Drosophila melanogaster: one gene and its partners. The gene in region 3 interacts genetically with the main gene of each other region. Each region holds a gene or a part of one and is shown on either strand. Other genes may lie near its edges.

The links.
Region 1: of p38b (region 3) and Cat, changing one suppresses a phenotype caused by changing the other (phenotypic suppression), as found in Drosophila melanogaster (one study listed by BioGRID).
Region 2: of p38b (region 3) and Mef2, changing one suppresses a phenotype caused by changing the other (phenotypic suppression), as found in Drosophila melanogaster (one study listed by BioGRID).

What each region holds. Positions count from the first base shown.
Region 1 is NT_037436.4:18,816,639-18,827,179, reverse strand, and holds the start of Cat (catalase), read right to left. Parts: upstream 4,577-10,541; 5' UTR 4,395-4,576; coding exon 4,338-4,394; intron 843-4,337; coding exon 1-842. Other genes in the region: HipHop (HP1-HOAP-interacting protein), read right to left, coding at 5,208-5,873. UniProt on the Drosophila melanogaster protein: Catalyzes the degradation of hydrogen peroxide (H(2)O(2)) generated by peroxisomal oxidases to water and oxygen, thereby protecting cells from the toxic effects of hydrogen peroxide.
Region 2 is NT_033778.4:9,924,673-9,935,213, forward strand, and holds the start of Mef2 (myocyte enhancer factor 2), read right to left. Parts: upstream 4,944-10,541; 5' UTR 4,228-4,943; intron 2,198-4,227; 5' UTR 1,815-2,197; intron 1-1,814. UniProt on the Drosophila melanogaster protein: Transcription factor that could be a key player in early mesoderm differentiation and may be required for subsequent cell fate specifications within the somatic and visceral/heart mesodermal layers.
Region 3 is NT_033779.5:13,774,153-13,784,693, reverse strand, and holds p38b (p38b MAP kinase), read right to left. Parts: upstream 4,006-10,541; 5' UTR 3,930-4,005; intron 3,828-3,929; 5' UTR 3,695-3,827; coding exon 2,597-3,694; 3' UTR 2,085-2,596; downstream 1-2,084. Other genes in the region: Eato (engulfment ABC transporter in the ovary), read right to left, coding at 100-223, 342-524; CG16890 (uncharacterized protein), read left to right, coding at 1,257-1,697, 1,749-2,084; CG9008 (uncharacterized protein), read left to right, coding at 4,962-5,049, 6,872-6,923, 8,538-8,596, 8,660-8,816, 8,886-9,223, 9,288-9,439, 9,509-9,589; CG43376 (uncharacterized protein), read right to left, coding at 10,384-10,533.

The DNA of each region.
Region 1 (10,541 bases), on a different chromosome or scaffold from region 3:
ACCTTGGTGACATCGAAGGGGTTGTACTTGAACTTCTTGGCCTGCTCGTAGGTCATGACCTGAATGTACATCGTCCAACTGGGGAACTTGCAGGTCTTGATCCTGTTGTACAGATCGCGAATGCTGTAATCCGGATCAGTGCTAGCCAACTGATCGGCGGTCTTCACGTCCAGATTCTTGATGCCCTGGTCCGTCTTGAAGTGGAACTTGGCATAGATGGGCTCGCCCTTGGCGTTGATCAATTTGAAGGTGTGCGAGCCATAGCCGTTCATGTGGCAGTAACCGTCGGGGGTGCCGCGATCGCTGAACAGGATGCACACCTGGTGAGCGGACTCCGGTCGCAGGGTGAGGAAGTCCCAGAACATGTCCGGATCCTTCAGATGCGTCTGCGGGTTGCGCTTCTGGGTGTGAATGAAGCTGGGGAATAGGATCGGGTCGCGAATGAAGAAGACCGGCGTGTTGTTGCCAACCAAATCCCAGACGCCATCCTCAGTGTAGAACTTGACGGCAAATCCTCGAGGATCGCGGGCGGTGTCCGCAGATCCGCTCTCACCACCCACGGTGGAGAATCGCACGGCCAGTGGAGTGCGCTTCTTGACCTTGTCGAAAATCTTGGCGGCACAATACTGGGTGATGTCATGGGTCACCTCAAAGTAACCAAAAGCACCAGCTCCCTTGGCGTGCACGACACGCTCTGGAATCCGCTCCCTGTCGAAGTGCGACATCTCATCCAGGAAGTTCACATCCTGCAGCAGGATAGGTCCTCGCGGACCAACCGTCTGGGAGGCATCCTTGATTCCAATGGGTGCTCCATTGCCGGTGGTAATGGCACCAGGAGAAACCTGCAAAAGCAAATGAAAGTCAAGTTTAATCAAATGTATTTTAATTTTAAAATGCTATGCAACATTCAGCAACAATATATTGGTTCAAGTGTCTTACAATCTTATCGGGCCTATTGCGATAATTCATTTTTGGCCCGCGGACTTTCATTTAATCATTCGATTTTCACCAAAAGAAAAAAACATTAACATAAAGATTGCAGAGCGTTATCTCTACACGGGGGGTCATTTTGCAGTGCATATAAATTTAAAATAAGAGATCCCAGGTGTTCTTAAGAGCTTGAGGCCTTAATATAGTGATGATGTATGGGTTTTTTGCATTAACATGTCAAGATATCAAATCCGTGTGCAAGGAAAAAACCAATTAAATGAAAGTATTCAAACATCAAAATGATGTTACACAGTTTATTAGCTGGCGATCAATTAATTATTTCATTCCATTAAGCTAATAAAAGTGTATTGTCCATCTGAAATATCAATTAGCCCACCAGCTGTCCTGTCATTTATCAGTCGATCTAATCATACTCCTTGTTTTCAATTCATTTCCCTAGAGTAATCCGAGACCGCTCCTTAATCACCTTATCGTTTATTTCGCATGCAGGCCAGCCACTCATTATAAAATTAACTCAGCCAACAATTTGCAAAACTGTCACCGGCCAATGCGCACTGTTTAGCTAATGTATTTGAAACCTGAACAACGCCATGCGAAATTCTAATTCGAAAGCATTTCTAGAACAATGCATATAGAATTTTATACAGAAGGTTGTTTATCAAAGTGAAGCCACCGGTGGTGGTGGTGGTGGTGTGTCAAACATATAAATTAAGCTACTGTTTATATTTCACAACAAAGTCATTTAGATACATATAGCACTTGGGTTGGGATTACCCGGTTGGGCACTAAGACTTTTACAATTGTTTAAGGAATTAGTAGTTGACTTTATCAAATCTTAGTTCCTAGAAGTATATATGTATCTATTTAATAATAAAATCAGCTTAGACAGGCCAGTAGTATACCCACTTATTGACAAACAAAAAGCGCTACATAAAAACGAAGAAATGAATATAATTTCGAAATTATCATTCTGGAATTTATACTGGAGTCACCCTTTAGATTCGGCCGATTCAGCCGGAATGTTTTGCACTTTGAGACATTAATATGGGGCCACTTCAGGGGGCAGATACGATAAGTGAAGCAAACCGGGAATGACAATGCGAGTGGAACCGCTGGAACTGCGATCCACGTCCAACAAGTCAATCTGGTTCCTATCAGAGCCTTCGTTCTTATATATGTATGTATGTATTTGGTTGTAGATATCTCCAGCGAAGAGCAAACTGATAAGAGAACCGCAACCGATCTCGAATAGAAATGCAAAGAACACAGTCTACAGGAAAGTTTTTAATTGCAACTTGTTGGCGATGCCAATGACACAAAGATGGCAAACAGCAACTTAATGAGGCGGCTTTATAAGATCAGTGCACCTGATAGTATGAGATAAATTTGCCTTCTAGACATAATTTATCAGCAGAAGGTTACTCATTCGAGAATGAGAATGCATAGAAAATAAGCTAAAGGATTTTAAATAAGGATTTTTATAGGGTTCTTAACCGACTCACAATGACCTTACGCAATATGCATTGCGTTGCAAAATATTCCAAGTATTTTCCTTGCATTTTCGAATTTCTTGGATAACAAATTAACTCGATTGCGAGATTCCCAAAAGAACAAAGAACCCAGTTGCCATGATTATTCACCGAAACAAAGGCAAACATTTAATTGCCTGACAGAATGCAGTTTTCACAGTTTCGTCATAGAAGGTCAAAATCGACTAAAACAACACGAACCAACCAACCAACTGTGGAGCTAGCTCTCTTTTCTGGGTCAGTTCGAAACATATTCTCACATACAGTCGCTTTTAGCCGGGCGTTCCAGCCAGGTTGCATAACCAAATTGGAGAAAGAAAATTTGCGTTGACTTATGGCACTGGCACACGCATTTTCCGAAGCGGTCTAGCCTTCCGCACTCAACCCAAAACGGGTTTAAAGCCGGGTTCGTTGTCACTCGAATCACTCGCAGTCGATGCGCATTGCAACCAGTTTGTGCAACATTGAGCCGGTCGCCGCAGAGTCCATTGACTCCCAACGAATTTTCCAACTTACAAGCGGTGCAATCCAGCGATCGCGTTTCTCAAAAAGTTCATATCTATATTTGTTTATATAAAATAATGACCGCTGATTGCTTTTAGTTAGTGGAGTAATTGGCTTCGTGACTCAATGCACAAATGCACTTAAATCGCTGATGCGAGAACTAAGTTCTAGATTTAGCCTTAATTGAATAGGGTAAAAAAAAGGTATACTAAATTAAAAAACAAAAAATGATTGTATTCTTTGAGAACTGACAATTCATACTTACAAAGTATCGAAATCCAATGGAAATTTACTTTAGTTACTAACCAAATGTGGGCACTCAACAATATCTATACGGCTGATACATCTAATCTATTTGGGCCAATTACTTAGCTGTTTTGGATGCCTATCAACTGGCTGACAAATAGCTATGCAGAATTATTATTTCATTTATCGATTTTTAGAGGGCATTGGGAAAACCACAGGGAAATTGCCGAGTAAATTATATATAGATACAGTATCTATGGGTGAGGCTTACTATTGATTTTGTTATATTTCATTCCTTTTTATAAAATGTAACAGCATATTTGATTTCAAAAATGATTGCAGTGTATAAAATGTTGCAATTGTGGAATGCCACGAATTTAGGAAAGTACAATTTTCCGAGTGTGAACAAACAATATTTGTTCAAAATTTTAAGAGGGCACGATTCCACAATTGAAATCATGCATTTAATCTAAACCAAAAGCGAAAGCGAATAATTAACACAAAAGTGCAAACGAACAAATTCGAATACTCAAATCCAATGCACAATGCAAGTGCCAAATGAAATTGGAAGTGCTAAGTGAAAACAGCGCTGAAAAATGAAAATAGACTAAGGTAAGAGGTCGCCCAAGGTTAGAAAATAGGTTAGCTAGACTAAACTTTGGATTTCCTTAAGAAGGAAAATAAAAATAAAAGGGAAAATAAAATTAACTTTGGATTAGGTACAGAAAACACAAATCCAATAAGAATTGCCACACTGATAAGGTTTATCAGTTCACTTCTGATAAGATTTCTACAAATAAATAGAAGACCCAGAGAGGCGGCTTTTGAACTTCGAACTCTGGGGAAACGACTTCATCATTACTGGCATTTGTTGGACAAGCCTTTGTTGTTTTTCGCATTTTAATAATTAATGGAATTAATGGAAAGTACAGGCTCATAGCAATCGTTACTGAAATTGTCTTGTTTTTTGTTTATTTCATTTCGTACAATGCTTCTCCCTTCTCTTTTTGTCTTTTTTGCCTTTCTTGTTTTCTTATTTTCCTGCCGGCACACACACGCACACACATGCAGTTGCGCTCTCTCGCGCTCGCACACCAACACACTCACCGTTTGGGAGTTTTTGTAGTCAATCAACTGATTGGAAGCCGCATCGCGTCCAGCCATTTTGCTTAAAATTTAGGATATTTGCTCAACGGGATAACCAGAATTTAGAAACACTCGAACTGGAAAGTTGTTGATTTCTAGCCGCCTTCGGTTTTTTGCTGTGACTGCGTCGAGAATTCTGTCAACTAAAGCAACTGCAGCGCAGTTCCATTTGTTTTTATAGCCCAGCACCACGTACTTGTTGTTGCTCAGGGTTGTCGAGTGGGCCGAAGATATCGATATTTCGATTATAGTTGGAAATATATCGCTTAAATATTACATAATATCCATTATTATTCATATTTGTATTTAAATAGTATGAAATTCATTTTCAAAGTTTTTTTTTTGCACTGTCCATTTAAAAACGTGTCCCAACACCATTAAGATTTATTATTGATAATTTATAGTACCTTCGCTCCATTTGCTGCCCAGAAAGGTGAATAAATTTAAACTGTTTGTTAAGTTATTTATTTTTTTAATTTCATGAAAATGTCGGCATCATTAAGTTATAAACTAAGTCGGCTATCTATTGGTGCTCCTGCCAAATAAATATCTATGGCCTCTTTTTTTCTTAAGTTGTGAACCTCTTCCAGTGGTGCCTTTAAAATAAATGTACTTCATTCATATAATATATGTAAATATCATTAAACATGTTAAAATTATAAACTTCAAGGAAATCTCCAAATGGCGGCTATCTTTCTGTGGCTCCTGCCAAGCTAACATCTCTGTCTTTCTTTATTTTAGCGTACAAAAATATCTAATTAAATGAAACTTAGAAACTAGCATCAACTAGCATATGTATCTTGTTCTCTAGTCACAACTTAAAAAAATCACCTAACCACCTGTGGTTCCCATCAAGTAAATATCCATGGACTGCTTGTCCAGGACGGTCGGGCGCCTCTTTGGAATCGGCTGAATGTGCGGCAGTCGCGTGCCATTCACGGCGTTCAAACTGAGATTCGAGTTGGGGTCGTAGTCGTCGCAATCCGGAGTAGTCTGGGCCAAGCTCAGCCTCTGCGATGGTTTCACCATTAGGTTTGCCCTCGCAAGCTGGCGTTTTTGGATCGCTGCAGCGCTGGTAGTGGGCACATTGTCTGAATCTTGACTTAAGCTTCTGTGGGAGCACAGCTCTTCATCGGGAGTCACAATGCCCCCCTCACTGTATGAGGCACCGAATTCGGAACTTTGGCCAGAGACATGCAAAGAGGGCGCACTTTGGTGCGACGATGACTGACTGCCGCTGACGTCCGTAATGCTCGCGGCAGTCTCCCTGGCCATCTTGTGCCGTTTGGCATTGTCGTTCTTCTTCCGGTAGAGTCGCACCAGGTCCGTGTAGCACTTGCAGCAGATGAGGTTGCCCGCCCGAATTTCGCTGTTCAGCAAACAGGCGAAGCGCACCAAATATTTGTTGTTCAGTTGGCGATACGGCTTCCGCAGCGTGTGGTTGCCGACTGCGCAGAATCTCCGCTCAACGCGCGAGCCCTCGTCAATGGAGGCCATCTGGAATAGATCATGCACCTAGTTCTCCACAACTCGGGCTTACAAAACAATGCTTACACTGGCATTTTAACTTCCAAACGCAACAAAACGAAACATGAAGCCAATTGTCCCGCCACTTTGGAAACATATAGTGTGACCACATATGGATTGCTGAAATATACCAAAATTAGGCGTAAAATAAAATGCATTTAACTAATAAACAAATTCAATTTTTTTAAATGTTATAAAATCTAAAAACATACTGACATGGTCACAGTTTCTCACAATTTAAATGTGGCTTATTGTAATGCCAGTTAAGTAATTAATATGAAGAAACTATTCGTTTAAAATTGACAATAATCTAATTATTGGCGTGTTCGATGTTCATGAAATACTTATGTTATATCAGTTAGTTTGAAAATTGACTGTATTTCTTCTGTTGGTTGTATCAATTAAAATGAGTTTAAAAACACATTTTTTAAAACCCTAAAACCACATTCAAATCAAACTGTAATTATACCAACTAATACTGAAAATACCGAAAACTGCAAAATCAGCTGCTCGCCGAACAGCACTCAGCGTGCTGTTGGACGCGAAATGTTAGCCCATTAAACCCAGGTTATTTTTTGTCATTCATTGTTCATACGTTCGTCTCGTCTGATTTTCTTTTTATAAAAACACAATTAAAATTTCAAACGAATACACATAATTTTTATAAATATAATGTAGTGCAACACGTATATGTATAATATAGCTTAATACCAAGTGCAATCCCTCGAAAGATAACTTCAAATGGCAATCTAATTTACGTAAAGAGAAGAGACAAAAAAAGAAACGGCGCGTGTGAAATTTTTTCAAGCAAAGCAAAGGAGAGAAGTTGGAGCAACAAAAAAAAGAGGAGAGAAAAAATACAGCAACAACACACAAAGTAGGCCAACAACAACAGCAAGAAAAAAGCAAGCAAGCGGCAACAACCACAGCAACAACAATAACAACGTCGAGCGAAAGAAGCAAAAACCTTGTAATTGTGTCAATAAATGTTTTAAATAATATTTCCTTTGGGAAAGGCACCGTGTCTGTGTGCGCGCTTCGTGGTGTGAGTGTGCGAGACAAGTGAAATTTTCTTTGTTTCCCTGCGGGGGAGGAAAATACAAAAAAAAGAGTCAAGAAATAAAGTTGCCTTGAAACAACAAAAAACGCTGCCCCAAAAAAAGTGTATGCATGTGTGTGTGTCTGACTCGTTGTCTGCTGGTGTTGGTGAGTGTCTGGCCGTGTGTGAGTGTGTGTGGCAATGAACGTTGAGCAACAATAATTTTATTTATTTGGAATTTTGCTGCGCTGTTTGCTTGCTTTTATCTTTATAAATATACGCACAACTACAGCGCGATAAATGAATTATGAAAATAAAAGTCCCAAGTGCTCTTTTAGCAATGAAAATGTTTAGCCAAAAAACGAAAAGCAACAAAAACAGCGGCTTTAAGGCTGCTGGACAGGTTTCCCACGGCTAAAAAAAATGTAAAATACGAAAAGGAGCAACACGACGGCGACGTAGAAGAAGAAGCAGCAGCAATGCGTGAAACGCGAAAGCAAAGTGAAATTCAAGACAACAACAACAACAAACACGAAAGCATAGCGGCTAACAGAAACCGTTATTCAACAATTTCTTGAATAAAACAACAACGACAACAACAACAACATCGTAAAGCATACAAGTGAAAGAAGGCACAAAATACTGGTTTACACAAAATAAAAAAAGATAAAGCAGAAGAAAGAAAGCAAAGAGAGAAAAAGTTGCTGCACGAGAAATTTCGTTCGTGTATGGTCTCCCCATTTCTATCTCTGCATATATGAGAGTGTGTGGTGTGTGTGTGCATTAGTGAAGTAAAGTGAAAAGCAATGCTGCAAGGAATTACAACAACCACAGCCAGTTTACAATAAATATATAACAGTAAACGGTACTTAGGACCACAACAAAGAGGCCAAACAAAGAAACGAGATATTTGGACAAAATCTCAAGGTAAGTGAAGCAAAGCTGAATATTTCGATGATTTTCTATAAAAAAGTGCGTGCTTTAATTAAAGTGTGGGCATAAGTATCGAACAAAAGCGTTAATATTGAGAGACAGACAGAAAAGAAAAGGGAGGGAAGGCATGTTGCCTCGCTTCATTTTTTTTTGGAGCATGCGAAATGTCTACAGGTGGCTTATTTACAGTTACTTTCTTGATAACAGCTGCTCGGCCTTCTCGTCTTTCTTTCGTTCATTCTTCCTTCGCAAAGCTCTTCTTTAAAGCTTCTCACGCTCGTCGAAGAATTTCGGTGTTTCATGTCTAATCGCCATCTAATTAACGGTAAAAGGTGATGCTCAATGAACACGATTATTCCTTTTCATTTTCATTCATCCGAAGATAAATCACAAGCTTTTTTTCTTGCTTTAACATGGTTTTTATTAAGCTGCAGAGCACTGGCCTTTAATGGAATAACAAAATGAAAATTAATGTATATTAAAATATGGAAAATTAGTTTCTAATTATCAATTCAAGAAAGTCTCATAGGACATATATTAAATGTATACGTGGGTACATATGTATATAATATTGCTCTTGATAAACCTTCAATTTTAAAACGTTGAAATATTTTTAGAGATTCATAACTAAAAGTTAATTACTATACGAATTATGTTCATGACTAACTGCTTGTCATGGATGCACGATAACATTGAGATGTTTAATGACCTTAACATTCTACTGAGTTATATTTTAGCAACTCGGTTGCATCGTGCATTCCCAATGCCTATGTTTGCATAGCTTGATCAAATAGTTGGAATAGCCCGAGTTTCGTGGACTTACTGACCGCTCCAAGTCACGTTTCTCGGTTCGAGTTTGTTATCAGCCTGTAAACCGATACGATGTTCTATACATACATATTATGTGTTTTATTTATACGTATTCCTCTTTGGGAAATATGTAGTAGAACTGATTCACTAATTACCCAAAGCAAACAGAACACAAAGTTGAAAACTTTGAAAGCTATGCAAACATGCACATAAAATACGCTGTCGAATTACTCATAGCTAAGCTGGCTCAAATTCTGTAATTTAACACATTTGTTTAAATTAATACTAACTAAAACCCGAAGTTGAATTTTACTGGGCTTTTTCTCTGAAAATGGCAAACAAACCATACATAATTAACTACGATGCTAGTTGGGGAATTAAACAGATGATGAGGAAGAGACAACCCAACATATCTACCATTTCTTAATAATTTACATCACGATATATAAAGCATAATAATTATATTTTGTCTTCTTTGTACCAAATTGATTCGATCCTTATTAGTTTCAATTAGGTCTCAAATTTATTTAACCTGAAAGTTTATTATTGCATTATTTTCGGCTTTAAATAGATTAGATTTTAGTTTTGTTTATCATGCTCTGGTGTTGTGTTTAGGTGTTTCCTCATTTTGGGCTTATCTGTGAAACGAAATGGGTCGAAACCGGTTTACCTCCGCTGATAAGAGCTCAAAAACAATAAAAAAAATGCTTACAATGTTTGCCCGAGCAGTATTCGATTGGTGATAAAAATGTTTCGAATGGAAATGGGAGGCCGAGAATAAAGCGATTTGAACTGATTGCATTGTACAGCTGTGCGCGATTCGTCGTTGGGGTTGATAATTAGTTGTAGTCAATCTGACCCGTCCCCCAATCTGCCCCCCAGGCCCCCTTTGGCTCCACCAAACCCACTATAACTTAGCTATCTACGCCTATTGTACGCTTAAACGGTTTCTGTTTTATGTGCTGTTCTTTTTCCCTCGCCGCTGCTGCTGCTTTTTTGCTAAAAGCAAAAAGCGTTTAACCGGTTTGTTTCGAAACAAACAGAGAAAACCGAAAACAGAACAAGCCAAGATTATGGTGTGTGTGTGTGTGTGTGTGTGCAAGTTGGCTCTGATGAATAACGTTAAGTTTGAAGAAATATCTGCTGGCTTTTTTTTTTATCTCGTGTGGAAGTTAACCGGATCGGATCGGATGGGAAATGTAGTTATGAGCGGATGGCATGAACGGAAAAAGTGTTGACGCTTCTTTGCTGATTTAAAAAAAAAAATGGAAATTACTTACTGGTTTATTACATACTGGTATGGTTTAAATCTTTTAATTTTCCTTTAAGTATGCTGCTGCTAATTTAAATAAGCAAAATCTACTTCTTAAGTATTGAAAGCAGGCCAATAAAAGTCAACTATCTGGCGACCTTATCTTTCAGATAGGCTATCAAGCAATTTCATTATTGTGCGAAATTAAATACCTATCATTTATAAAGCTCTCACATTTCTGCCAACTCGACTTTCCGGCTTATATTACAATTATTTCCAAGTCAATTGGGCTATAAATAGAAGCCAATTGAGTTAGTTTGGTGTGCTCAAAAAATGCCAAGCAGCTGAAACGTGTTTTGAATATAAATCAACTTCAGTCACAGAGCCTTTGTCAATAAAATTTCACCAAGACCCTGAATGTTTTATGGTTTACCTTCATCCATCCGCTTAACGAAATTTACTGAGATAAGAACTTTTTCGCCTTTAAACTCCCATCAATTTGAACTTTGCTCCGAAACTTTGTGGGGGGCTACGGAGAAGTGCTCATAAATTCAAGTTGAAACCCCTTCTATTTGCTGCTTCATTTCACCTATCACATGGCTGC
Region 2 (10,541 bases), on a different chromosome or scaffold from region 3:
ATGCAAGTAGAGTTCGCTTCCCACTCAATCATCAATCATACTAATCGTACTGATCGTTTTATCGGAGATCTGCATTTTGTGCGGCCGGTAGCACGAACAACTCAACTAGTATCTAATCTGGCAAGAATTTCAAGTTTCCGAAAACTCTTTATAAATCAATTGGTCACGTCGTTCGCGGGGAATACATAGTATAGTAATGGGCATACACTGGTGTTTGTTTAGTCAAGCGGCACTTCAAGTGGTGCAGGTGTGGGCCTCTGCGAAAACAATCGAGAATGGCAGCAGAAATATTTGACTAATTGCGGCTAAAAAGTTAAGAGAAATGGGCGAAGAGACCTACGTAGACTAATCACCGCAACGGAATGTGGCGAGAAAACAAAGGATGTGCGGAATCATCCGTGGCCCGGGGACAAAAGAACTTAACACGGTTTTCATTGCAACAATCTACCATTTGCGGTTGCTGCATTTCACTGGGTCAACGGCAAAGGCGGCACTTGAGCAGGATGCCAGCAGGACGAATGGAATGAAGGAAGAAAGGAAGGCAGGAAGGTAGGAAGGATGTGCCGAGTCTGTTCCATTGGTGGATGTGTGTCAAGACATTTGTCTTGTGGCCGGGCAATTAAAACGAAGCAAACTGCCGCCACACGTTTGCCAGCTTCACCATTTAATTGGCCCAAAGACTGCGACGGCATCATTAGGCAAATGGCCAAGAACAAATCTCAAGAACGTGGGTGTTTTGCCCAGCTCCTCTGATTTGCAGTTTCTCTCAATTTCTCTGTTGGACCGGACTGGGTGGGAAGCCTTCTGCTTAGCAACTTTTGCGCTTTCCCTAATTGTTTGGACCAACAAAGGCGGGGACATTATCGATTTGATTTAGTGAATCACGCTCTGCGGCTTTTTCTCCGATGAGCAGGCATTAAAAGGCGAAAACTTGTTGCTCGCCTTGATTGCGCTCAATTAGCATTTGTTGCGGCCAAATTTATGCAAATGTTAAACTTTTCCGTATTTTGGAGGAATGAACCCCGTACCGATTCAAAAACCAGTTGCGATCGCAATGAGATGAGCCGATCTGAATGCAATCTCTCACCGTCTGGAGCTTTCAGCCTCAATTAGAGCGACAGAGATCGCGAACGAGAGACCTTTCATAAATTCCGTTTTTATGGCTGCTGACCGGCCAAATTTCAAGTTTAAAAAACTCCGAATTTATCACCTCAATTTCAAATAATAACCATTCCGTGGGTTTATACGCACGTTGGCCTGACCAGTGAGTGTTCTAGATATATATTTGTTAATTTTTCTTAATTCACTAGCTCTGCTCTTTTCGGCCTGTCTTGACTTCCTTGGTCGCAGCTCACTTTCACTTTTCATCAACCAGATCAGATCCGTCAATGTCCCCGACTTTTGTTATTGTTGTTAATGTGCCGCAGTTAACGCATTCCTGGGACCCCGGTTATAAATCTTGACTTAATTAAAGACACGCGCGCGCGTTTTAAGACGCGATGAAAACGACTCATTGCGTACTGCCAATGAGGCGGAACTTTTTTTTGTAGTCTTCGGGGGCGGTCGGAAGTTGAGTTTAGAACTGTAAATTACGAGCAAAGATGCTGGGGATAGCCATCAATACCAATTGGGGACGAAGAGATGAGGATAGGATTGCGTTTGAAGAATAGATTTTAAAAACTGACGAGTTGAGAAACTAAAATGAACTTGTCATAAAATCTACATTTCAATTCAAACTACCTCATATCTTATTAACATTTACATCTATTTTTAGTATATTATTTATATATTATAAAATATTATCCACAACTTACACACACTTTGTGAATACGACGCTCGTGGTAAATGCTAAAGGCAAATGATAAATGCTTTTGAGATAAAATGTGCCTGTTTGAAGCAAGTGAAATATCGGCAAACTTCGATTTCCAATATTTTTGCAAGCAATCGCATTGGCTCCGCGATATCTGGCTCTCTTCCTGCACCGCGTTTATCAACAATTTCGATTGCAGAAATGCCAGCAAAAGCAAAAGAATCCAAGGTTTTTGTTTTTCGCCCCGAAACACGCGTCTCATGTTAAGGTAGTCGAACAAATTTGAGTTCTCGGGCCCCGAGTCACCTAGAAGTACACCTAGAGCACTTCTATCTTATCGCCAGCACCTACACAGCCGCAAAAGCGGGCGGAGTGTGGGGGAGGGAGCTAAACCAAAACACAGGCGCAAACAGAAAGAAATCGTTATAATAATAATAATTATTATTATTTTTATTTTTATATACAATATATGTGGGGGAGCGCGGCGGCAATAACCATAATTATCACAGACACTCGAGAGCCGCAAACACGGCAAATGGCAAAGGAACATTTATTTTTTTAATAACTACACCAACACATCGACCAGATTGTGCTTCATTTGGCTTGTCAGTGAGCGTGGGCACCTTCACATGCGCACGTGTGATAAGAAAGACTCTCGCTCTCGATGGCAGATAGTGGCCGCAAAAAAAAAAAAACACGAGCAAATAAAACAAATTTTGATTTCGAATTTTTTATCAAGCACCGAAAACGCCAACAACAAACGTAACTCAACTATTTTTCGTTGAAAATTTGCCAACAAATTATTTTGACCTGATAAGATGTCGTTTGTGGGTTTTCCTTCATGGATTGTATTCTTTATTTTACTTGCAGTTTTTCAGAATCGTGTGTCATTTTTGAATTTCAAAACTAATTGAAAGGCATCCAAAAAAAAAAAACAGTTAAAACATTTATTTTTTCGCTTAACTTATGAAGCTTTAGGTATTGGAAATAACTAAATTGTTATAGAATGAGATAAATAATAATGAAATAATAAAGAAAATAAATAAATAATATTATAATTTCTCTATTGATGGAACACTTAAAATACAAAAAAGAAAATAAATAAATAATATTATAATTTCTCTATTGATGGAACACTTAAAATACAAACGCGACCCAAACGTGACTACACCAAATAGTGTTAAAGATCTCGGAGGTTAATGATGGTCGTGATGATGGTCCGAACGTGAACGTGATCGGAGGTGGGGTCCCGTTATCTAGGCTCTGCAATGCCGAATGACCGTAATCGTTTATCGGCGATCGCCGTGGCTAAGTCCACGGCAAATCTGCGGTGATTATCGCCTTCGAATGGCTTTGTTTGTTATTTGAACCCACTGCTCCCTGGATCGAAACGAAATTCCCCTACTCCCTTCCCACGCGACCCCCCTTATGATCCTGCGTAGGTGTCAAAGTGCATTGCACGCATGTCCAGCTGCCTGAGGCGAGATAAGAGAAAATATAATTCTCTGTGCATTTGCTGCTGGCTGAAACAAAGTGCAGACAATTATCAGCAAATTCGCCAATCAGCCAGCCAGCCAGCCAGCCAGTCAATCAGTCAGTTAGTCGGTTGGTCGGTCGGTCGGCCATAAAAACTACATGCAAAAGAACTTGATAGCAGGGAAATGGATTTGAACTTCGCCGGAGGAGTACGGTTCTCGCGGGCCCTCAATATTGATACGAAAATCGCTTATCAGTGGAACGTATATAGTATTTGTGTGTGCGTGTTCGCCCGTCCGAGTGTATGGCAGCTACTCTCAGCATTAAATCGCAAGAAAAGAAATTGAAACATCGAATGATATCAATTGAAAGGGAACTGTTTGAACTGGAATCAAGACAGCGAGGCACAATTCGAAAACCCGGCCGATATCTCTTTTTTTTTTCTTCGGAATCCCAACGTTTGGCTCAGCGATGACGTCAGTGTGCATGGGTAACTTGCTTATTTGGTTCCCGACATGCCGGCTGCCAGTGTTTTTGTAATTGTAAATTATATATAATCAAATTGCCCTATCGGCATATGAAAGGAGGGGTTTACAGCCCATCGATGATCTGTAAATAATTACTAAGCCTTTGGGCGGAATAATAGCTCAATGAGCAAAGGTGGATATGATAACCAAAATTAGGTTTTATAATTCATAATTTATAATTAATTTAACAATGTGTCTCAAAAGTATGACTAACCGAAAATCACTTATAATGTAATGAGGCATTCAATTGGATTTTATGACGCTCATAAATATAAGTCAAATGGTTATCACAAACAGGAAAAATTATTCTTAATACAAGAATGAAAATCTTTCTACCCATTTCGCAAAGGTACTTTGGTTTTAAAAACTAGTTTTCAAACCAAAAACATTCCTCATTGCAGTAGATAAACTTACATGAATCGCTTTTTAGCTGAGCTTCCGTTTTCTCGAAAAAATGTTCTCAAAAATACACTACTCAATAGAAACCGACGAGTTTTGAACTTTTCTGGGGATGTCAGGTCGCTGGCGAGGTGTTTGCACAAATGTTTCCGAGCACACACACGAAAATCTTTGCAATTGAGATGCAAATTGAATTATTGTTTGAATTCTGGCTTTGTTTACGCCGCTCGTTCGATAAACATCGGGGCGAAATGCAGTCAGTGATATGTTTGCTGTTGTGTTTGTCGTGTGCTTTAGCTTTTTGTAAATATAAACAAAGTCCGGGCAGGCGGGGGCGGGGATGTCGCGGCCGCGGTTGGCGCAAATAAAAGTTAAAAATAAAAACTTATAATTGTCCGACGGCTGTTGTTATTTTTATTATTGTTGCCATTTATTTTTGGAAATAGACGTTGAATTTGTTTATATGGAGTAAAAATAAATTATTGCGCGTAGTGCGAGAGCAGCGGGCCAGCATAATTTCTCGCGGCGTTCGATATAGGATCTCTATCTGTTGTGAATCGCTAGCGGAATCGGATCGTTGGATCGTTGGCTCGGAATGAAAATATCGAACTCGCAAACGGATCGCAAACTGATCTGCCGAAATCGAATCGAATCGAAATCTCAAAATCTCGAAATCCCGAAAACCGAAAAACTGAAGAAGCGGCGCTGCGGACGCGTACAAACGTACTGACGGATATGCCGTCGTTGACGTCGTAACGCCAAGTACGCACACACAGATACGCCCGCACACAGCTGCACTGCGCCAGGCTCTCTCGCAGTCGCACACTAACACACACACGCACAGCCAGCAACGAACACGTATACGTAGGCTGGCGGTGAGGATTTTCGTTTCGTGGTGAACTCACTCACACGCGCACACCTTCTAACGGTGCCTTTTGTTTTTGCCTTTTTGTGTAACAGAATATCGCACACATACATTGCCGGGCAATCGGAGAGCGGGAGAGACGGAGAGAGTGCGCAGCCGCTGACTTTGAGTTCCTACTCACAACGAAAGCAAGAGTGAGCGAGAGGTGGCGGGGGGTTAGAGTGTGGGGCTGGTGGGGGTGAGTGAGTAATTCGGTTTGTGAGTGAGTGCGTGCGGGAGTCGAACGAGAAACATATGGTTTTTGTTTGTGCCCCAGCCAGACACACACACACGCACACTCACCCACACACTTGATCAATCAGCAACAGTTACAGTTAGTTCCCTCGCCGAGCTTGTTGTCCCGCTCTGGCAACCTCCCATAAATGTTAATTATCCCCCACTTCACCACCCCCATTAACTACACCCCTGCTAAACATCGCTTTGGTTTCCGTTTTCCTTTGTATCCGTATCTCCCTGCCCTGCCAGGACCTCTCCCCTCCCGCTTTGCCCACTATCTGGTTTTTTTTTTGTGTGTATTTTATTTATTTGTCCTTGCCACTGGATCCTCTCTATAAACACCCACCCACCATTAGTTTTCCCCTTCGACGCAGCTTAATAAAAACTTTGTTGACCTGCGTTTGGCAGTAGAAAAAAAGGTAAGTATATACTCGATACCCTGTTACAAAAGATGGGGCATACTTACTGGCTGTGGTTACGCCTTTTAGAAACGCGAAGTATGATATAACTATCATTAAAATTAATTTCATTTTTAATAGGTTATATTAACTTTGGAATTGTGACAGCTGTTTAGCTTCTTAGCTCCGATGTGAACGTAAACTAGAATGTTGAACTTGATTCAGAAAAAATAAAGCGTAAATCCTTTTTTCATTTGTTACCTAATTTTGTGCGATACAACATACAACATATCCTGTAATTCGTCTGCTGGCGGGTACACAAAACAAACAGGAAGGAATCGGAAGGGACAAAGAGTAGGACCCGTAGGATCCTAGGGTGTGCGGCAACCAACGATTCATTGTTTCTGCTCGATTGATGATTGCCTATTCAGACAGAGGTAAAGTAGTTGTATGGCTGAAGTTGGGGCTTAATTTGTGAATCGGACCGCCAGCCAGCCAAGTGGGATCCAAAGCCCTGTGACCCAGACCCTGTCTATTGTTGCGTTAAGCGAGATATTATTTACCTTAAACACGCTCTATTATGCAGGTTATGTAGGCGAAAAGATAATAAAGTAGGGATACATGTACCCCAACTTGATCCCAATAGAGTTTATTACAAAAATCGACTTTTATAAAAGCAGGAAAATTGGGAACGTTGTATGTGATTAGTCCACATCTGGGAGGCAAATAAAAGCTGTGGCTACTTTCCAGCCATCTATAGTTCTAACCCATATAGGAAATGATTTTGCGTCTATTTATACATAATAAAAATATTTCCAATAGCGAGAATTTTAGTGATTAGCCATTACCATATGGCATTTAAATCAATAAGAAAATATATTAAAAGATTTTCTTGTTTACTGTAAGTTGCGATTTAATAACTGGAGTGATAGTTAAAACACAGACAAAAGGACATTAAGGGAGGTGAAATCTTAAGGAATGCCCATATTGCAGTTGCAGTTAAGTGGACGCAACTTTAACGTGACTTTCCGAGTAATATGCGAATGCCAGATGCCGCAGATATTGCTCCGCCCCGTCGAGTGAATGGATTCTGTAAAAATCACGCATAACCGATACCAAGTGCAGCGCGACCAAGTTACCCGTTTTATGGCCCTCGCCTCTCGGCGGCGCCACAATGTTGCATTTTGAGAACCGAACCCAGCAGCAAACGATCCATGTGTGTATATCCGAAGATCCCTTTCTCACTTCCACTCCCATTACCATTCCCATTTCCATTTCCATTTCCATTCTGATTCCCGTTTGCAGTGTCCTTGTGACTTTTAACGCTTCCACTGGGTGCGACAACTGCCAACTGCAAACAGTCGTCGACAGTCTTAATTCAATAAACGCCGCCCGGCGATTTGCGCATGACCATGTACCCCGATGCTGTGCGCCGTACGGTTGATGCTGCATGTTGCATGCACTCAACACATGTGCAACATGCGGCATCTGCGGCAGTAGCAGCAGCAGCAGCATCGGCCTCAATGTGCGTTGAGTCCGACTTTAACTGCTTGGCAGGGGTTTCTTCAGGGGGATCTTTGAGTACCCCAAGCCAAGACAAGCCAAACCACGTGAAACTCATCTCCACGCCACTGCCCTCCGCCGATGATGTTTTTGTAAACGCTGCGTAGGTAATTTCATAAATCTCATTCAAATTGCCCTTCGTGCCATGCCCATCTTGCAGATACCCAGCAGTAGAACAGCTCCAAGTGTATCCGGAGGGTTGTAAGCATACGGAATTACAGGAAAAACATCTTTTTAATTGCTCGTCGAGATTTCGAAATTGAAAAATGTCTGCGGTGGTATCAATTATGCAAATGCTGGGCCCCGAAAAAAAAAGCAATTGAAGTTCAGTTCAGCTCAAGTGATTTCGACTCGGAAAAGTCTCCGGGGAGCTGGTCGACTTTCTGCCAAAAGAGAGGGGTAGGTGTCGCCATTAGCATTGCCTAATTACATTTCAATTGCTCGACTTAAACGGGCTTAGGTCTCCGACTTGCTCCCTAATTCATAAAAATCTCAATCAATTTCCCCGGGCATTGAGTGCAATTTAAATGTGATTAAATGCCAGCTTAAGTACGCTACTGTTCCTCTTACCGCTCCTCCTTTTCGACAACGTCGAATTTTGCCTAATCTAATCAATTTTCCCCAATGCTAAACGCCCACGCAGAGGCGATGCCTCTTTTAGCTACAGATTCTGGATGTCAGCCCAAATAATTCCACCTTAACACGTGTGTCATTGCGGGGCGAAGGATCGAGGGATTCGGATTCGGATACGAGATACGACGGTGAAAGCATTTCTCTGTTTGCATGACTGATAAGTTCCCAGCGAAGAAGAACGGATGCCTAACCTTCCATTTGGACTGGCTTAGAATGCGAAAACTGGCCTCTAATTGGATTCGACTGTCATCCCGACGTGCAATTAGCATGGCACGGCAAATAGAAAACTTTTCAACTGTTTTAGCACACATCCTGAACTGAACGACCTGCCGTCCGCAAAACTGTCACCGTTGACCATTTTCCCTTGTTACCAAATTGTTTTTTTTTTTTATCTCTTTACTCCTCACACTTTTCCTTTCGAGCTGGTTTGGGAAAATGGCACATATTTAATGCGAGAACTCTTTTTTTGGGGCAAGGACGAGCTGCAAAAAGGTTTATAATTGAAACTGATGACATACATTCAAGGTGAGCTAATTGAGTTCCCCCAAACTGAATTCGCATTCATTCATAAGTTGGCCCATTGATAGAATTATAAAGTGTGTGCTTTAGTATCAACTAAGTGTCATATCATTCGGCGAGCGACAGTGAGTTGGGTAATCATTTTGAAACATTCGGAATAGCTAGCGAACTAATTTCGAGTGGGTGGCATATCAATCAATGTTATTTATGCATATCCCAGCTGACACTGAAGCAAACTCGGGAACACACTAAAACATTCATGTACTGGGGAAAACTAAACTTTGAGTGGGAGTGAGCTGCTGGCCTCCGCTGCTCTAATTCACGGCATTGAAAAGCGGTTTAGGTTACATTTTAGCTTGTTATAACGCTTTTTGGGAGGAAAGTACGCTAAAAATAACGTGCATCACAATTGGAATCCATGGGATTAAGTAGGGTCGAAAATAACAAGAAACAATTAATAAAGTCCTAGTATTTAAAAATACAAAATTTAAGTTAATTTAGAACTTAGTCCTGTCATGGCTTCTTGCCTTGTCAAGTAAACAACAAATTCATCCGAAAATTTGTTTTAAATATTACTACGAAACACTGTTTATTGTGATTCCCGAGATTGTATAGTAGGAAACTTGTTGCCTATAAAAAACTGCAGCGACTGCTGTTTAATGTGCAGTCTAATGTAAACACTCGACAACCAAACTACCTTCTCCTTTTTTCTACCCAACAAAAACCGAGCTCGTGGAAAACAATACCAAGCATCCTGGCTGGAGAGAGAGGGATGGGAAAAACTGGTGGGAAAGCAGACAGGCAGACACACGGAAATTGACAACTCGCAGAGCAATAAAGAAAAGTGTCCCGCACGCACACACACACACACACTCACACACAGCGGGAGAGAAATCGAGGAGAAGAAAAACCCGAGGGGGTGGCGGCGGCCTGATAAGTTTATACAATTTCCACCCACAGAACCTGAGTTATGCTCCCACATAACACAATATTTCCCTAATGTCTTTATTATGTTCCATTGAGTGTAAATATTTGCCTTGCACCCACACACACAGACACACACAAACACAAACTTGCGCACGAGTGCGTGTGTGTTTGTTGGCCAGCTTCATAATACGAGGCACGTGCTTCATAAGAAGGTGAAACAAGCCGAAAAACAAAACAGGTTCTAAGGACTCACCTTCTTCGGGGAGCTCGCTTTCAGCAATTTTGTCGACACAACAGGTACAAAAGATTGATCTGCAAAGAGGCGGAAAAATACGAAAATGGAAATTAGAAAATTGGGTGGCACTGCGGAAGGGGCGGCTTACGACAAAACTCCGAGCTGCGAAAACGCGTCCGTGACGCCAGCGATTTATGATGCTCAGTTCAATGCACACGCGTACCACGTTGACCTCCTGCATCGCGCCGTTCGCGCCCCCCGCCCCGAAACTCCAGAATCACTAGAATCTCCAGAAGCCCCAGAAATCGGTGGCAAAGTCGGGGTCCGCACATGTGCGGCATACCCCCTGCAAAAATCGACTAAAAGAACTCAGATAACGAGTTGGATAACCGAGAAGCTGCTGCGTGAGTCCCAGACGACAAGTGAGCAGAGCGGGTTTAAAGTTGAAAGGATACCATAAATCTTGTAAGCTGATGCAAAGCGACATTCGTCGAAGCCGCAAACAAAGCCACTGGATGCGTGGGGAATCCAAGGAGTAGGGTGGCGGAACAGTGAGCCATCTGAAGGCTCAACAAGTGACGCAGCGACTTGGGATGCTGCTCGGGGGGAGATTGGGTAGTGATATATAGAACCTCGCACTTCCATTAAGAATTGCTATTTAACTATCTACTAAAGTATTCCGCGCGTTCTTCTTGTTTAATTTAGTAGCCAATGTAAGGAACTAAGAACGTAACTATATTAAGATCCATGTTGGATTATAAATATAGATAATCTTTGAAGTTTTAGTAGATTGAGTTCTATAATCCCAGTAATAATGATGAAATAAAATCTTTACACCCCTGACCTATAGAAAACAAAATGTTGTTCATCGAATCAGCATTTGCAACGTGAGGACTATTTCTCAAACTAATTT
Region 3 (10,541 bases):
AAAAGTACATATAAGCTTTATATGGTCGGAAACGTTTACGTTTACCATACAAACTTTTCCACATATCTAATTTATGAGATAATTTGGAAATGCACTTACGCTCTGGTATAATTCCCAGATCTACACGCAGGAGATCCATAATGTCCTCTACATTGGGAGAGATGGGTGAGTAGTAAATGTAATCCAGCTCATTACCGGGAAAGTACAATTCTCTAAGAACCATCTAATAAATAAATTGAAGTCCAATGATAAGGATTAGTGTGGTCACAGGTTTGTTATCACATGCATACGTATGTACAAATATAAAAAGCAGATAAAGTAGCAGTGCGAGGGAAACTTACTTCATTCTTTGCTTCAAACTGGTTAATTTGGTGAAGCACGGGCTTGACGGACCAGTGGAGGTACGCGGTGAGTACTCCGGCAAATCCGGAGCAGATAAGGAGCAGGGGCAGCAAGTTGCGTTGCAAGTAGAGCAAATTCTTCCGCAGAAAGACGAAGAACAGCGGGGTAAAAGTCCCAGCCATTTTCTGTTTAACATCAACTTTTCCCTAATTTTACTTTGCTTTGTTGAATGGCATTTTTTCTCTATCAACGTCGATAGTAATACTTATCGAAATGGGAACCGCACCCGCTCCTGAGACTTGAGTCACTGTGGGAATGAATTCAATAACATTGGACTTGTAGTAAAAAACGGAGGAACGCTACAAATAATTATTGTTTACTGATAAGTGTACAGTCTACTCGTAGCCAAAGCCAATGGGGGTCATAAAATAATTTTAAAAAGTGTGTAAACTTGGAATTTGTTTTTTATTTTCTTGTATATTTCACATTTTTAATTTGTTTTTTTGATTTATAAGTAAAATAAATATTGTTTAATTATATTTCATAAAAAGTTGCATTTAATTAAGCAAAGAACTCTTAATTTGTACCTTTAAAGTAAGAAATTTAACTTATTCCACAGTGTGTAAACAGTATATGTATTGGCTAAGATTAATACCATGCAGTTTCGCCATTACGGGCCATTCTTCTAAACTTGTTATAGCCATTTTATTTTGGTTAATAACAATAATATATATTAAAATTTATTTATTATATTCAGTTGGAATAATTTCAATTTGTGATTAAATTTTGCAGCTTCATTTTATTTATCGTTTAATATATAGCGTAAAAATAGCCAGAGTAGGACCACAGTCTTCGATATATCGATAGGCAGTGCCCTGAAATCGAAGTCTGTTTATTATAAATTTTTTATCATAATGAGCGGCTCGCAATTATTCCCAGTGAATCTGAACAACCTGAGTGCCAAGGAGCGACACAACTATATACTTAGTAATTACGTGCTTAACCTACCGAATGAGACGGAATCACGTCGGCACAAGCGAGACATCGATGTAATCCGAGAGAATCACCGCTTCCTGTGGGAGGACGACGAGTTGGATAGCGACACCCTAAGCTGGGAGCAGCGCTTGGCCCTGCGATACTACAGGAAGCTATTTAAGGAGTACTGCATCGCGGACCTGTCCCGCTACAAGGAGAACAAGATAGCGCTGCGCTGGCGAACGGAGCAGGAGGTGGTCACCGGAACCGGGCAGTTCCAGTGCGGCAGCCGGCATTGCGGGGAGCGGGATAATCTGCGCAGCTGGGAGGTAAACTTTAGGTATATCGAAAAGGGTGAGCCCCTAAATGCGCTGGTCAAGGTGGGTTCCAAATGGGTTTCCGCGATTGTGTCACTAATGGGAATTCCATAGGTGCGGCTGTGTCCCACCCACACGGATCAGCTGAACTACCGCACCAAGAAGAGAGAATGCAAGAAGCGGAGACGCAGGGAAAAGGAGGAACGGCGCGCTGAAAAGAAACGTAAGCGTCGAAAACTCGATGTTGGTCACGAAAGTTCTGGCGAAGAGGAGGAGGAGCCTGTCGAACCAGCATCCGAATCCCATCCAGAAGCCAGCAAGGAGCCCACAGACTCAAAGGATGCCACCACGGCAGACGAACAGATCTGGCAACAACAACCCGATATAAGCCGAGAGCAAGCCTCCAGAGAGCAGGAATTCGAGCGATATCTAGAGGATCTCATTTTTTAAAATACATAGCACATTTATTTGGATTCAACGTAGACACTAGTGCTCTTTTTTATAGTTACTGGCCGCTAGATGCGTTCGCTTACGAACTACGATGTACATGTACACTCACATTTACAGGATTATTCACAAGAACTGCGTGTTAAAACCGACACCAAATCTAAAGTTGAACTGGACATTAAGGCTGTGACTCTGATTGATTTTTGGAAACATTTCCGAATGGCTACATTTCAGGCATGCACCTAGTTCAATCGCTATTTCTATATCCATCGAATGCAAATCGAAGGTTCGAAAATACAATACTATTTCACCTTACGTTTGTGGTCAAAACAAATTGTTGAAATCCAGCCACTGAAGAGTTTCTAAATATAAATCGCTCTAGAATAAATATCCCCGATTGTTTACACTCGACGAGTAGAGAAATCACGACTGAGCGCATCCGCTTGAACTAGGTGTAGAAAAGACTGTTCTAATTGTATATAGCATCATTGAACGGAGAGGGATGGCGGCCGGGATTACTGCTCTTTGGGCAGGAGCTCAGCGAAGGCGGCTGTGGGCTTGAAGGCCGTCACCTCGCTGAAGACCATCTCCCGCCACTTCTCCACCGGCAGCTCGTTCTCCTCGAAGCTCTGGTCGTAGAGCGCGGCGGTCTGCTCATCGGTTGGATCGTGGTACTTCTCCATGTACGGATGGGCCAGCGCCTGCTCGGCGGTTATGCGCTTGTCGGCGTCAAGTTCCAGCATCTTCTCCAGCAAATCGATGGCCAGCGGATTGGCACCGCGGAAGATGTCGCGGAAATTGCGGCGCGGCATCACCGGCAGTGAACGAATATAGTTTCTAGCGCTCTCCGAGGAGATGCGGCTCATGAACTCATCAGCTGGCGTGCCCAGCACTTCCATGATGAGGTTCAGCTGATGGATGTGATCGGTTCCAGGGAACAGCGTGCGCCCAGTCAGCAGCTCAGCCATGATGCAGCCCACCGACCAGATGTCCGCCGTCTGGTTGTAGTGCATCCAGTTGAGCATGATCTCAGGCGCCCGGTACCATCGCGTTGCGACGTATCCGGTCATCTCGCTTTCTGCGGGACGGGCCAAACCGAAATCCAGGATGCGAAGCTCACAGTCCTCGTTTACCGCAATGTTCGATGGCTTTAGATCACGATGGATGACCCCAGCGCTGTGGATGTACTTCAGACCGCGCAGGATTTGGTAGACCAGAAACTGGACATGATCATCAGACAGTTTCTGCGTGCGTATTATGTTGTTCAGATCGGCGTCCATCAAGTGGGTCACCATGTACACTTGCTGGAACTGATCCAGCGAATCGGCGGGCTGTCCTGGATGAAAGACATCCAGCAGACCAATAACGTTCTCGTGATCCATGTGCTTCAGCAGCCGCAGTTCCCGATAGGTGCGCTTCGCATGGACCGCCGACTGGAAGGGCCTGGCAAGCTTCTTGATGGCCACCTTCGTGCTGGTTCCGCGGACCACGGCCTTGCAGACCTGGCCGTAGGCACCCTGACCCACGGGTTGCAGGTTCTGGTATGTTTCCGGGATTTCCCACTCGGTGCGATTGATGTCCAGCTTGTAGAATTTGGCCATTTTGCGCGACATTTCGTTGGGATGTTCTGTACGCTCAGGTGCGGTGCTATAATGTTATTAATCCGCTGGCTCTTTTTTTGGGCAGTTCTTCTTCTTGCTTGTGGGATTAGTTATCTCTGTTCCACACTTCGCGGCCTCAACATTGCTGGAAATGAGTAATCGTACCGGGTATTACGGGAAAACGTAGCTAATTTCGGGTATTCCTGCCCAGATTCATTTGTATCTGCACAAATAAGTTGCAACTTACATCTCTCGGATTTTATTTATGCTATTCCGCTGCGCCTACACCTTTTCTGATTGGACAACAACGCTGTCTTGGCTATCGATAACCGCAAATGGGTCCGATTTCCAATCAGCTGCTGCTCGTTTATGCGTTAACATGGTTGGCTTTAGGGTGTCCCCTACAAAAATCAGAGTCCATCGAGGCAGCGGATCAATTCACAAAGCTTCTGCGCAGTTTGGTTGACAGAGTACATGATCGTCACAAACAATAATAATAATTAGATTTTTATATGCAATTTTGATTAAAGTTTTTAAGATTATATTACAATTTAAATACTTTCAATATTATTTGGAGAGTTCTATGTATGTATTCTTTATTATCACACCTTTGAGAATAAGAAATATTTAAATTAAAAATGCATTAATTAAAGCAAAAAATGAACTTATATGAAACCATAAACTCGTGAATAATGTGGTAATATCATCCACTTCAGTAAATACTTAGTTATACGTTAAAAATATAATTTTAAGGTAGAGTACTCCCTCGTCGACCATGGACATAAAGCTAATTTTAAAGCTTAACATGGGCCGGTAACAGAAGGCGGTCAGTTGGCGCAAGCTGGTTTAGTTTCAATCGGTCGCTCGTTGGCAGAACATCGAAGGTCCGGGTCGTGACGCTTTTCGCCCGAACGTTTTTTGCACGAGTTTTTTCCATACGTATTTGTTCATTGACAAAAACTCAAGCTGCGCTCTGTGCGTGCGTGTGTATGTGTGTGTGCGAGTGAGTGTGTGTGTGCTGGCGCGTCTGTGTGAGTGCGGTGCTTTGTGTGCAGAATAATTTTTGCAAACATTATGTAAATGCGCAAATTAAAGTTCAATCGACGCCCGTTTTGAGTACGAAACCAGATCGCCTTGCTTTAAGTGCCACGGAGCTACAGTTTCTTTTCGTACCCAATTTTTCAAAGATATACTCCCTCAGTAGGCAGGCACGCACACAAACATACACAGGATCTCAAACGATCCCCCGGATATACCTTTACCGTTAGGAAAATTCAAAATGGCCACGACAGCGGCCGCAATGGCCGCAACGAGTGTAGTTGTTCTGGATCGCGGAAACAATACAACCTGCACCATCAACTTGCACGGTGAGCAGAATGTCTTGAAACAATGATAAACAACAAATGAATAGCTGGCGAACAATTAATCATAATTAAGAAGACACCACCAGCACTTTGCCAAAATTTTGTTGGCGTTATTTTTAGCGGATGATTGGCGCTTAGACTCTTCCGAAACCGAAACCCGTTTCGCCCCCTATTCTCGATGTATTCGCGACCTCTGGAGGTTATCAATTCGTTCTGGAAATAACCTTGTTTTTACCTTTCGCTGTTCTACGCACCAGCCAGAGGGCCTTTGCTATCTTATCAGCCGAGATCGTCGCAATTTAGGCGCTATATGTACATATATGCCCCCACTCGATCCAATCGCTGGGGATCAGTTGGGTTTCGGTTTTGGAAAAGCTTAGAGCTTGGAGTTTGGATCTTGGAGATCGGATCGATGCGGCTCCTACTCGCAGCACATTTCGATTAGGCGTCATATATATGTATATGGTTCGTACATATATGTATACAGGTCCCTCTCTATGAGCACCTATGTACATATGTATGTATGTGAGCTGGCACTGGTGTACCCAGCGTACTTTCAACAATTACGACTGCCTGTGTCTGGGCTGCCCACGTTGCTTTCCAAGTCGCAGCCGTTTGAGCAACAGTCAGACGGCCAGAGACACAACAGCGTTTGGAACAGACAGCATATCGTACACCGGAAGAAATAACTACATATATATCTAATGGAAATTCTTGAGATCTTCATAGTTTCTTATCGGAAAGAGTTTCAGTGGCTAAGGCATTAAGGATTAAAGATCTTTACTAAATTCACTTGCAATGATTTTCTTAAAGATATTTATATGATCCCATGTATATGATTATTTTTCGTGTTCCACTTACTCTTCCTCTTCAATTAAATGGCCTGTGAAAAACTAAGATATATACTTAAACTGATGCATTGTTTTCCTTTCAGTGTATCTTATCACATGTAATTCGAACAATGTTAATTATTAGTTTTCGGAGGAGCTTTAACTAAACTCGACACCAAAGTGTTTCCAATCATAATAATCAAGGTGCCAGAGCAGTGGCTACGGCCTGTCGAAAGCCCATCGCACATTGGGGCCAACTGAGCGAGATTTTGGGGAATAGCAGCAGCTCCTCCCACGCAGCCAAGTGCTCACCCACCCATTGGCCGTAGGCCATCGTCATGCCCAGAGATCCATACCCGTAGCGTAACCAAAACCAACCCATATCCCAGTCTTTAACTGTACCAGAGATTCGGTCTCAGCCAGTTAGTTTACTTACAGGCCAGTTACTTACTCTGCGATTGTGTGCGTGCAAGTGTGCGCGTATGTGTGTGTGTTTGTATGTGTTAGCCATGTGGGTTAGAAGTGTGTGCGTCATGTACTTTGCTTTTTAGGTTGTTGTTGTGCAATTCCCACAGTTGATCCAGCTTCGAATTCATTCATTGATTCACAAGTTCCGATGTTACTGAAACTAATTTCAACGACAATGCAATAAAATGAGATTAAATAAGTGTTTATTAATAGTTAGTTATTAATACATAGTTATATTACATTTATTTCTAGTTCTTAACTTTACTATATCATAGTACGATTGTACAAAACTGAAAACTAGTTAAGTTCCGCTGAAAGCTTGAATTGAACTCGATTTACTGGGGGCATAGTTAATACCTCTTGATATATATTTCTTCTTATTTGATTAGTACATGTAGTCCCTATATCCTTCTAGAAATCCGCACATCTTTAGTTATTATTCCACAGCATTCCTTATGTATTTTTTAAATATTTGTTGTAAATATTATTCGAATAAACCGAATTATTTGCCTACCTTCTGTTTGCAGGTGCGACGGTCGTGTCCTGGCGGGTAAACAATCAGGAGCAGTTGTTTGTCAGGTGAGTGGACTGAACTCTGTCAGGTAGCACCCTTTAAACATTGCTCATACGCCGCGTTGGCCAAACTTTAAGCCCGAACTTACGCAAGCCCACGGTGTGCTGTGCTGTGCGTTGGTCATGCAACCAAAAAAGTGATTCGCAAAGTTTGCATCGCTGGTGGAGAAGGAGCAGAGAGTGGGACGAGTCCAGGGGGAAGGCGGTTGACAGGTTGGGCAGCAGCAGCAGCAGCAGCAGCAGGAGCCGGAGGAGCAGCAGGAGGAGCTGCCTTAGCCATTCTGTTTGGCGGCAAAATGTTTTTGTATGACACCCAACAAAAAACACGTCGGGACCGAGCGGGCCCAAACGTCGAACCAGCGAACCGAACCAAAAGCGACCGAATGGCAAAAACACAAAAACACTGGGACAGCGACAGAGACGGGATGGCGGGGAAATGCCCCAGCTCGCCAACTAGGAGCCGTTGCACTTGCAACCAAGAGGAGCTGCCTCCATTGATGGCCGTTTTTTTTTTTTCGCCCTGTTGCTGCCTACTCCTGTTCTGGGCTTCCCAAAGCCCCCCTTCCATATCCAGCTCCCCTCCCTTTGTGGCAAAACAATGTGCAAGTTTTTATGAATGGAGTTTTTGGCGCGGCCAGCTAGATCGATAAATCCCCACTACATGGGGAGGCCCTCCACACAGTGTTGCACAGTGGTTCGTTGTCCCATCAACTTTCGGCCAATTCCCGGGTTCTTGGCCAGCTCCCACACAAACAGAAACAGAAACACAAATACGAATACAAACACAAATACAAATACATTGGAGTGTGTTAGCCCCTCGTCGACGCTCTCCTAACTTCTTTTTTGTTTCGTCTGCTGCAAAGTTTTCGACGGTTTTTGTGGCCAACAGTCATTCGGCATTCGGAAACCCACTAAAAACTGGCAGTGGTCGTGGACAAGGCGAGCTAGTGAAAAACTAAATTAATTATTTGCCGGGTTCGAGACGGCCTGGGCTAAAATAGGTTTATTTCGAAATTTACAGAAATGGAAAAACTTTGGTTAAAGACACTTAACATTTAGATTGTTTATGTTCTAAATTACGAAACAACTCGTATAATTACGTGAATCCTTTATAGTAAATTCCTTATATATATTTTTCAAGGCAACTATTTCAAAGACTGTCAGTAATTCTTCCGCTTTCAAGTAAATGCCGAGCTGAAATCTCAGAATATTAATGAAATTTGGCCATGCCCAATGCGATCCACAGCTGAAAACATTTACAAATGATGCACAGAACATGGAGGAGCAGCTTAGGTAGATCCCGGGGCAGAAGGAGTTGCTTGATGGATGCGTCGGCAAATTAGCTGAGACGAAACCCAAGGCAAGTCCCATCTCGCGGCAACGTCATCCTCAGCGACAGGAGAAAAACAAAACACACACACACACACACAAAAAGGGGCAAGGAGCATTTTGCCAGACACTTTTTTCTGCTAATAGCATTTCTGAATTTCTGAATGTCTGTCTCGGTCTGCAAGCGTTTTTATGACTGGAATATTTTCGAGTAGCATCTAACCGAATTAAACGAGCCTTTTCTTTTTCCTTTTCCTTCTTTTGACTCAAACCCATCTTGTTTTTCCACAGCAAACTAGCCTCATTCGATGGCAAGAAGGCGATACGCGGTGGGATTCCCTTTGTCTTCCGTAAGTCTGCCAAGATCCAGCAGCTTTGCTCAGCGATTAGTTCATTTTTGGCCACCATTTTAGCTCAGTTCGGTGCGTGGTCCTTTGGGCCGCAGCATGGATTTGCGAGGATTACCAGGTGGCACCTGGAGAGACCGCCAGACAGGCTTCACAATGGCGATGTGGAGGCCATATTTTCGCTGATGGACAACGATTTTACGCGATCCATATGGAATTATCAGTGAGTTTGAACACTTAAATTGCTAGATAGAGATTGTATTACTAGCAACTAAATTCTTTTCCTTCAAAGGTTTCGCATCACTTATAGGCTGATCCTGCGCGAAAAGGAGCTGCACTTCCACATCGGCGTCTACAATCCCAGCAAGGAGCTGAGCTTCACCTTCAACATGCTGCTGCACACCTACCTAAAGGTGCCCGATGTGCGCCGATGTCAGATCACCGGCCTCCAGGGCTGTCACTTCATCGACAAGACGCGGGAGAATGCGCTCTATCAGGAGGGACGCGAGGTGGTCACCGTCAATGAGTGGACCGACAGGATCTACCAGCACACGCCGCAGGAGCACGTCATCACAAACGTGGTGTCCGGCAGGAAGATGAGACTGCACAAGTACAATTTTCCCGATACGGGTAAGTAAATGGCACAAAAGGATATTTTAAAGTGTGTGAAGTGATATATTTGATATATATTCAGTCATCTGGAATCCTTGGATCGATCGATCGCGTGAGATGAGTGACTTCGGGGACGACGAGTTCCCCAACATGTTGTGCGTGGAGGCGGGCAATGTGACATCGCCGGTGATCCTGCTGCCGGGCACCGCTTTCGAGGCCAGCCAGATCCTTCAGGTAGAGCAGCCGGTGCTGGAGTAACCCCATCTAACCCATCCTAACAACCACACCTGTTCCCACACCCAGCAATTCAAGTGTCCCTATACCATAGACCCATCCAGCTGCAGGAAGAAAAACTATCTAACCAACTTCTTACAATACGACTAGAGTCGATCAAGACACCACCATATTCCAATTCAAATTCTTTACTTTGCATGCTATCAGATTATCATCGAGGGCAATGTGAGTCGCAAGACCAAGCGGAATCGCTAGCGTTTAAAGAATCGGAACCCGATGAGGTAAACCGATTCGCAACCATGTCAAAGCGCACTTTTCCACAGATGAGCATCTGCGTCCGGAGTAGCTGGCGGAGAATCAGGATGAACAGAAGGAGGGTTGTTCCCGCACGGTCTCTAGACTCTAATCTATCTCTTAAGTAATCTAGCAATGTGTTGTGCAGAAAATGATAATGAATAGTACACTTAACTTTGTTTATCATCCTTAGTTTGTGCCTACTTAAAGGAAATTGTGCATTGATAGTAGTTACATTAAGTTTTACGGATTAGGAAGTGAAAGAGCTGGATCTTAAAATAATGGAACGATCCCCTAAAAAGTAGCATTAAATCTTGGTTACCATACAAGATATCTGCGTCCATTGTGATGACCTCACTTTTTGCTTCGGAATCTTACCTACACTCAGCAAAAATACGCGAAATAATGTTATGAGCAATGGGCACTACTAGCTCTGGTCAGCACCCAATCAAGAAGTTGTATACGATTGAATATAGATAACTTACATAATGTTTTAAAGCTAATATGTGTAATATACTAAAAGCAATTATATGTACCAATTAATTAAATAATCAATGTAATTGTAACTTTAAAATCAAAAGGATGTACTTGAAACTTTGCAGATTACAAATATTTCACAGTATATATTCGGCCTTTTTATGATATTCAAACTATTCTGGCCTCTCGTACACATCGCCGCCAATTGCATCCCATTCGTCCTCGTTCTTTACCAATTCATACGGGAAGTGTTGCTGGATCCACCAGTAGAGTGTCATGCTGACGTTGGACATCACTCGACCCTTCACTGTCTTTCTCCAAGCCTGGGGGA